Linked DNA regions of Tribolium castaneum. The protein of the gene in region 1 purifies or fractionates together with the protein of each later gene. This does not show direct contact. Links are inferred from orthologs where the notes say so. Each region holds a gene or a part of one and is shown in the gene's direction. Other genes may lie near its edges.

The links.
Region 2: the proteins of ataxin-2 homolog (region 1) and rin purify together in Homo sapiens (affinity purification with mass spectrometry; 4 studies listed by BioGRID and IntAct, counting the BioPlex papers as one, with this or other methods). This does not show direct contact. The link is inferred for Tribolium castaneum from reciprocal best matches to the Homo sapiens genes ATXN2L and G3BP2.

The regions. Positions count from the first base shown.
Region 1 is NC_087401.1:7,996,156-8,000,405, forward strand, and holds the start of ataxin-2 homolog, read left to right. Parts: upstream 1-1,338; 5' UTR 1,339-1,436; coding exon 1,437-1,474; intron 1,475-4,250. UniProt on the Homo sapiens protein: Involved in the regulation of stress granule and P-body formation.
Region 2 is NC_087397.1:6,619,599-6,623,873, reverse strand, and holds the start of rin (ras GTPase-activating protein-binding protein 2), read left to right. Parts: upstream 1-1,337; 5' UTR 1,338-1,497; intron 1,498-1,840; exon of another isoform or gene 1,841-1,855; 5' UTR 1,856-1,904; coding exon 1,905-2,002; intron 2,003-3,617; coding exon 3,618-4,275. Other genes in the region: sqd (RNA-binding protein squid), read left to right, coding at 81-143, 527-612.

The DNA.
Region 1 (4,250 bases):
TGACGAATCATTAGTCGAGACATTGCTTACGTCAGAGCGCAAATTTTCGATTATTACTAAAAAAGTACCGATTTAAAAAACCTCAGACCAACATTACTGGACATCATTGTGTGTCTACTTTCAGAATCTGCAATTTCCAAAAACTTTTACTTTTGAGTATAACACTCCATTGTTTATTAAAAAAAAAAAATACTGTAATTACAAAAATATGATACAGCAAAAAATTTAAATGTGACATGGAGTGCAATAATTTTTTGTAACAGCTAATTTTGAGAGAAAATGCGACGTTGGCGCAGATTTTTGAATTACTTATGAAATATTTTTTTTAATTTTCAATACATTGCACCGATATCATAAATTCGTGTCAACTCCATTAATAAACATTTTGTTTAATAAAAAATGTCTAGCCAATTTTTTCAATAAAGAATGTTTCTTGGAACTACATTTATTTTCTGTTTTAAATCCATAAAAACGCCAGTGTCGCATTTTCTCTCAAAATTAGCTGTTATGAATTATAAAAAAATAATAGCTAATGTAATTTATACTTTCAATGAGAGATCTAAGCATTAATAACAATTTTAATATTTAATATAAAAAAAATAAATTGGTAAAATGCAACGTTGGCGTTTTCATAGTTTTGAAACAGCTTACACTTATAAAAAACACAAATATCAAAAAAAGATTGTATGCACCAATTCCCAGAGGGTTTAGAGCTTTAAGATTCTGATTTTTGTTAATTTATTTTGTACAAGTAAATAGGAATGCAAAACATCTGGGGCGCATTTTTATTAATTAATTATTAGTTTATTTCAAAATCAAAATATGTTAATTATTTCTGTCAGGTTGGCAATAAGTCAGTACCCTCTCGATTGCATATGCACCCACACACATCAAAACTCACCTTCTCGTGCAAAAAGCCCTTTGGTGAAATCTCCGTAAACTAGGCCACCACCAACAGGTAGTTGTCCCTTGTGGCGCAGGCCCTTATTTATTGATCCCAATTTTGCCGCCATAAACCAAACTAGAGGAAAGAAGCAATGACCGAAGTGTGTTGTGCGCATGCGCAGTTTGTCCATGTCACTCTGACAGACAACACTTTGTGCAAATGCTGTGTTATAATTGTTTGTTATCACAGGAATCGGTTTTTTAAAGCACCCATCCAAGCACCAGGTCTCGAACGAAGTGTGTCGAGGAGGACGCCACCGCCTACGGTACCGTCTGCCACGAATGTGAAGAGGTAAAATCGACAGTGGCAGTGATTACGTCACTGAGCCATTTTGTGCGCTTCTAGGTGTCTTTGGAGCTGCCTGCTTTGTTAGAGGGCCGCGAACGTACCGCGTGAATATTTTTTTTCGAGCAGTTGTACTTTCAACGACTCCAAAATTCCGGTACCGACGAGAAATAAGGACCATACCGGCCATCACGGTAACGGTGAGATGAACAACAAGAGGAAAAACAGGGGAGGGCCGCTGAGGTTAGTATAGGGGGCTGTCCACGCAGCGCAATCCATCAAAAATGGGACGTTTCCCGAAACACGTTGAAAATTGACAATTTTGACAATATTGTTTGACATTTGACAATCATGTGGTGTTTGGCGATTTTTGACAATTTTTTTGCTTATGGTGGTCTTAAAAGCCCCTAAGATGGCGAAAAATGCTTTTACTTTTTTCAAGGTTCAATGCCCTAACAACTAGTTTCACATAATTGCCGAATTAAAGACCAAAACAGAGGTATTGACCTCATTAATTTTTTACGAATCTCCAATTTGGTGTTTTATGTTTTGTTTTATGCAGGGTTGTTGCACTTGACGGAATTGTCAACTGTCATTTTGGCATTTATTGCTTTGAGGTTATGACTGTTAATATACAAGGAGGTTCCAAAAGTTGGACGTGAAAGTAATAAGACATGAATGTTTTCATTATTTGTCACTGATAGCAAGCTGGAAAAGTTAGCAAAACAAACAATTTCAAGAACAAATTTTAATCAATGGACAGTTTGATTTTTGATAATCAAGTAGTCAGATACTGAGATAATAATTTTGAGTAATTCTTCGTAAAACTAATAAATTATCAAGTTTCTTTGGGAAAAAAGAAATTTATCATAGCGTGTCTAGTCTAAGTCAGCATAGATCAAAAAACTTTTTCTAGCGTTAAAGAGATTTATTTCCGGATTTTTTAAAAATATCTAGTTAAGGATGTCGTACAAAACTTACAAAATCTTAAAAAAATTTTCGACATGCTATATTTTCATATGGATAACAACCAGCTGTAGAGTTGTTAGGTTGGTACGCCCGTGCTTACAGTTTTTTTAGTGTACCGATTGGCAGTACTAATTCGCTTTCAAAATTTGACACCTGGTACAAGCGCAGTAAAGAACTGAAATAAATTGGTTATTTTTTATTAAAACAAAATATTAGTCTTAATACCCTGATTTTGAACCATTTTCACAACTTCACAAATTTGATTTAAGTGAATAATTAGCAGACTTTAAAAACTTTCAGAGCTTCTAACCTATTTTTGTAGACACTGTCAATTCTGACAAATTTCTCACTAGAAATTACTAGAAACATTTGCGCTCATTTAGAGACCGACTTACACAGGCAAAATATAAACAATTTACACTAGGAAGTGGTTTTTATGAATGTGAACCGATAATACTTATAATTATTAAATAAATATTTAACAAGATTTTTGGACTTAACAGTAAGTTAAGACGAAATTTGATTATGTTATAGTAAAAAGATACAGGAATTTGTAATTTAAATGATCTATTTATACAGGTGTCTGATTCAAAAGCACCGGACAATCTTTCGAGTACTGATAAAGAACATCAAACTGAATTAAAAGTTCCTATGACAAAGCCTTTTTTCACGAGCTCTTTGAAGTTAAATTTTGAGTTATGTTTTTGGTGCTTCAGATCTAATTTTTTTAACTTTAGCGGAAACGACAGCTTTTGCAACATCAAACAAATACCTGTTGAAAAAAAAAAACAACAATTAATTTCTTATGATGTACAAAACTATTAAAAAACTTGCTAATTCGACAATAAATTAAATTCGATATCATAGGAAACAAAAGAGCAAAAATCGATACCGTTGCTAAGGAAAACAAATTAAAAATTGTTTGAAAAAAAATCTTACTTTATTTTTGTGCTTAATTGAACGTCTTTCAACACTATATGAGAGTTTGTCACTTTTGAATCATCCTGTATATGGGACATTTTTTTAAATAGAACACTAGCAACATTTTTTATTTTGTTACAGTTTTTATATTTATATTTTTTGTTGATGCGTAATTTTTAAAATTAATGACGAAAAGTACGGACACATGGTTATTTATCATTTAATTGTACAAAAGATATGTTTTTAGTAATTATAATTTGTGAAAACTAATACTGGCGTTCTCTGGGGGGTAATTTTGAAATTATTCTTCTGTGATATAGCGGGAAATTTAAACATCATCCGTAGTTGACAGTTCACACTTCAGTTCAATCAAATTGAATTTTTGTCAAAACTTAATAAGTTAATAAGACTTAATGAGGCAAACAGAAAAACAAATTTTGTTTTACTTGTTTTTATCAAACCTCTTGGCAACATTGAAAAGCAAATTCAAATATACGTTAATTTAAGCAACATTTAACAAAACTTTAACAATTTTAACAAAGCCAACTATCTGACTGCACTAAATTAAACCGAAATTATCATTTGTTTGAAGCGTTTTATCACTGCATATCTTTTTTATTTATTTATTTATTTATTTTCACAACACTCGTGAAGGCTTTTTCATGTCGTTTTTTTATTGCATTCATTCATTATGGTGATACTTCTTACGTGATAATCGTCCGTCTGACCCCGTGTTGCAAACAGGTTTTCGACTATTTACAATTGAAGTAAATAGAGATAAAGCGACCTAATCAATGTGCTACAATTACAATAAATCTTGGCTTTTTTCTAACAATTCGAATGGTCACACGCATCACACTTTTTCCGTTCTAAGTTGCCAATAGACTACAGTGGAGACGGGTTATAACGAACTTCCGGTAACGGTAACGAAGTAGATTTGACTTAAAATGTGGTGCAATTTTTCGTTTATAACGAACTTTGATGAATATTTTGGTGTTGATAATAACAAAGCAGCAAAAATTTGACAAAACACGTAATATTAACTAGGATTGCGTCTTTTGAGTACATTTTGTCTAAAGTTTACATGATTAATAGTTAATAGGAAATGAAATTCGGTGGTATCTTTGCT
Region 2 (4,275 bases), on another chromosome or scaffold:
AAAACATGTCCGTAATTTTCTTTGGTTTTGCTTATAGTAGAAAACAGTTAACTGATATTTTTTTGTTTACGTGAATGCAGACTATGGATATGGTAACTATGACGGAGGATATGGTGGTGGTCGCAGTGGTGCGCGCGGAAAAGGTACATACTGATCATGTTACATTTATTGTTACTGTGTGTTGTTTCAAATTCAAATTAGATTTTTTAGTAAACAAATTTGTTTTAATGTAGCAATAGTCGTAACCTGCGTTTACCCAAAAAAAAATCAGTAAGACCATCGTGTATTTTTTCACTGCGTCACGTACTAATCTTTAAAAAATTAGTAAATGACCATTGTAGGGTTGCAGCATTCTAATTTAAATAAAAATGAAGTGATTATATCTTTTAAAAAAATGAGTATTTATAAAAAGTATTTTGAAGAACAAACTGGCAAACAAACAACGCAGGTGGCGAGAATATTTTGAGTTTTATTAGTGAGTAGGATTTATCACTAATTAAATTTTTATACTGCTTGTTCTTTTCAGGTGGCTCCGGGGGTTATCAGGGTGGTAAACAACGAGGAGGTGGTGGCGGCGGTGGCGGCCGTAACCAAAGGCATCAACCCTATTAGATTTAGTTGTAGTACACATTTTGGTATGTGAGTTGGTCTGACTGATAGCCTGTTTGATCATCTACTTTTTTTATAGATGTTTCTCAGTTACTTTTTTTATTTGATATTTCGATTGATGATTTGAATATGATCATTCCACTTCTCATCTGTCAATTTTTCGTATCGAATTTGTACAGAACATTTAAGTTTCTATAAAGCATAAAAAAGCCGTTTATTTTTTTTAAACGTCAGGAATGCCAAGCCGGTTTTTCATTGTATTACGTTAACTTAAGTGATAGTGTAATTTTAGAGTAAGTTTATGTAATCTGTGTAGGGGGGCATCATGTACTTCCTCCACTGTATGACAATTTAATAATAAAAAATTTGTGTACATAATTTATCATCATTCAGGTATATCCTCTACATGTATTATAATGTGTGTCCTGATTAATTTAAAGTTTTTTAATTTCTATTGTGACAGTTCGCCGTTGTGGTCTAATAAAATTTGGAAATAAATAGAGTACATTTTTACTGAAACTGTTGATTTTCTTCCGCCACCCTTCATGTGTTTAATAGTTCTAAAGGTGCAAGCCAACAGCATAAGCGACGAAATGGTGCATGTGAATCCCTCCATTTTCTGTAAATTTTAAGTTTGGCGCCAAATCAATACAGGGTACTTCCGTTTGTGCATGCGTATTGATAGAAGAAATCCTGGGTTCTAGATTAAAAAACGTCCTTGAGTGGCGCTGTCGGCTAAGGTGTCCAAAATCGTAACTAAATTGGCAATTTATGAAGTTTACACCCGTGGTTTTGCGGCGTTTGTGCATTTCAATCACATTTCTACCGTGTTAATAATTAAATTTAACCGAAAATACTTCCTTAGCTCGCTTCGCCGACTATCTAGAGGTAAGTGAATGAAAGCGCGACTTTCTTCCCCCTTTTTGGTTCATTATCACATACCGGGTTTTCCTGGATTCGACATGGACAATGATCCATTTTCTCGCCGTGCAGAATTTGCGGTTATTTCACCCTATCCTGACTATTTGTTTACTTCTTGGCCCCCGAATTTCCCTTCTAACGCCTCGATGGAAGGAAATTCGAAGCCCGGACTGGCCTCAAGGCTTGATTCGGTGAAAATTTCGTTATCTGCATTCCATGTGTGCAATAATTATGGAATCCCTTTGTCTATCACATTTTAACATTTTTTTCCTCCGAATTATTGGGATTATTTCCTAAGGCGTGCTGGTAGTTTTGCCGTTTTCAGGCTTCTTTGCTGGTGCACGTTTTCTCAAGTTGTAAATAACTCTTCAGGAATGGTAATGGAGGCTCCCCCATCTCCCCAAAGTGTAGGAAGGGAATTCGTTCGACAATACTACACTTTGCTGAACAAGGCCCCTGCCCATCTACACCGGTAAGCACATTTTTACACCCAAAAATCAGCCAAACATATTTATCACCTGTGTTAATTGTTTCAAATATGCAAATTTTTACCAAGTGTTGAGCGATAGGTAGGATTTTCAAATGAAATTCGCTATAATATTTATTTCTGTTTGATGTTTTGTAACAGTCTATGAGGTGTAATATGTGGCGATTTATTTAACAACAATAAATGTGGATGCACGCCCATGCTGCATTACGAATTCCATATCAATATGTTTATTTCTTATAGTTTTATTGGCCAATTGTTCATAGGCGTCGAGTTGGAGGAACGGTCATTGAACTTTTGTAAAAAAATCGCTATCAACATCACAAAAAATATTAATTTGTTTACCAAAATCAATTTGAGTTTCGTTTGTAGAGAAAACCGTACAGATATTTTAGTTGTATTCCTAAATTCTGCTTAATTTTTCTCGGTGTGATAGTTACAGAAAGTGTCCTTGCAATGCGTTAACTAGTGAATTTTTATTTTGAACAAGGTTACGAAGGTAAGATACCTACTGTTTTATCAATACACTAATTAGATTAATTTTAATTGCACAGCAGTGACTATGATTTATTTATTTATTTTGAAAAAACTTAATTGAAGCATGGATAATTCATTTCCCAAAGCTTCAATTCGAGGTGAGGCATTTTTACAAGAATGACCTTTAAACCATATTACATCACACACGTGAAAACAACTATTACGAGCATTCTACAAACCAAAATAACAAAAAATGCTTATAGGTATAATAATACTCATTGAACTATTTTTTAGTTAAATTAAAATAAATATGATTTATTAGCATCGATTTGAAATATTTTTACGTGTTTTATAAGAGCGTTTACGGATCAATAAACTAAACGAATCCTTCACAGTTCACAAGATTTTGGTTTCGATTGTATTTGCGAGTATTTACATATTAATTTATGGGTCGGTTTAGAGAAAGAAGTCGTAATTATATTCTGGAATTCTATCGAATTATACTTTTGAAAGCTTTGGCTTTCATTCAGTTTTTCAGAAGACTTTTCTTATCAAACCTTAAGGTAAGGTCAGGGGAGTATTACCTAAGATTTTTTTCAAAAATGAAATGTCAAGGGTACACATTACACAAACTCGTAGTAGCTGTCCTAACCTTACACAGGGTTTAGCTAAAACAGAATTATCTTTTTTGCAAAAGATTAAGACAGAGTATTTATTGACGTTATTTAATAATTTTTTACTTCAAATTAAATTAAAACAAATTGTGTAGAAGAAGGTAAACTACTTTCTGCATCAATAATTCGGAATCATTGTTCTTGCAAGTGCTTTTTACTGCTCTTAGTGTAATGTCTCAATTGAAGCTATCTGACTTAAAAGATTTAAACATATTCGTGGGAAACAAAAAGCCATCTATCGTGACCCAGTTGCTGTAATTTGGGTTTTTATGTAAAGTATTTACAATCGTCTTAGCTTCTTAATGTATTTTGATTTTTTCTGAAGTATTACGACACTACCATCAGGAACTGATAAAGTTTCCTCTGTATTTATTTTAACAAATTTGTCTAACGTAACAAAACGTCGATCAAGACGCTACGAGAAAGGTACATAATTTGTGATTTCTCAGATTTTACAACCAAAACTCCTCTTTCATCCATGGCGGTTTGGACCCTCCAAACCGGGAGACCAGCCCTGTCATCGGCCAGAAACAAATCCACCAAAAAATCCAGCAGCTGAATTTCCACGACTGTCACGCTAAGATCACCCAAGTCGACTCCCAAGCCACTCTCGGCAGCGGTGTCGTCGTCCAGGTGACCGGCGAGTTATCCAACGCCGGTCAGCCGATGCGCCGTTTCACTCAAACCTTCGTATTGGCCGCCCAAAGTCCCAAAAAGTACTACGTTCATAATGACATCTTCAGATACCAGGACGAGATCATCTCCGACGAGGAATGCGAACCGGAAAACCGCTCCGAACCGGAAGACGAGACTTCGCAAGAGTGCCCGGTTTTGAACGACGTCCAGCAGATGAACCAAGCCCCCATGAATTACTACAACCCGACTAACATTGCGCCGGTGCCCCACCACCAGCCCCCGCATGTTCTAGCCCCTCCGGCGGTGCCCCAGGTCAACGGAGCCGTGCATCCTGACGATATCAACGTGATGCCCGGACCGGTGCCCCATGTCAACGCCGCGGGCCAAGGACAGGTCCTTCCGACACCCATCACCACCATCCAACCTTCGACGATTGTACCACCGTTGAATGCCGCGGCACCGGTTGAGGAA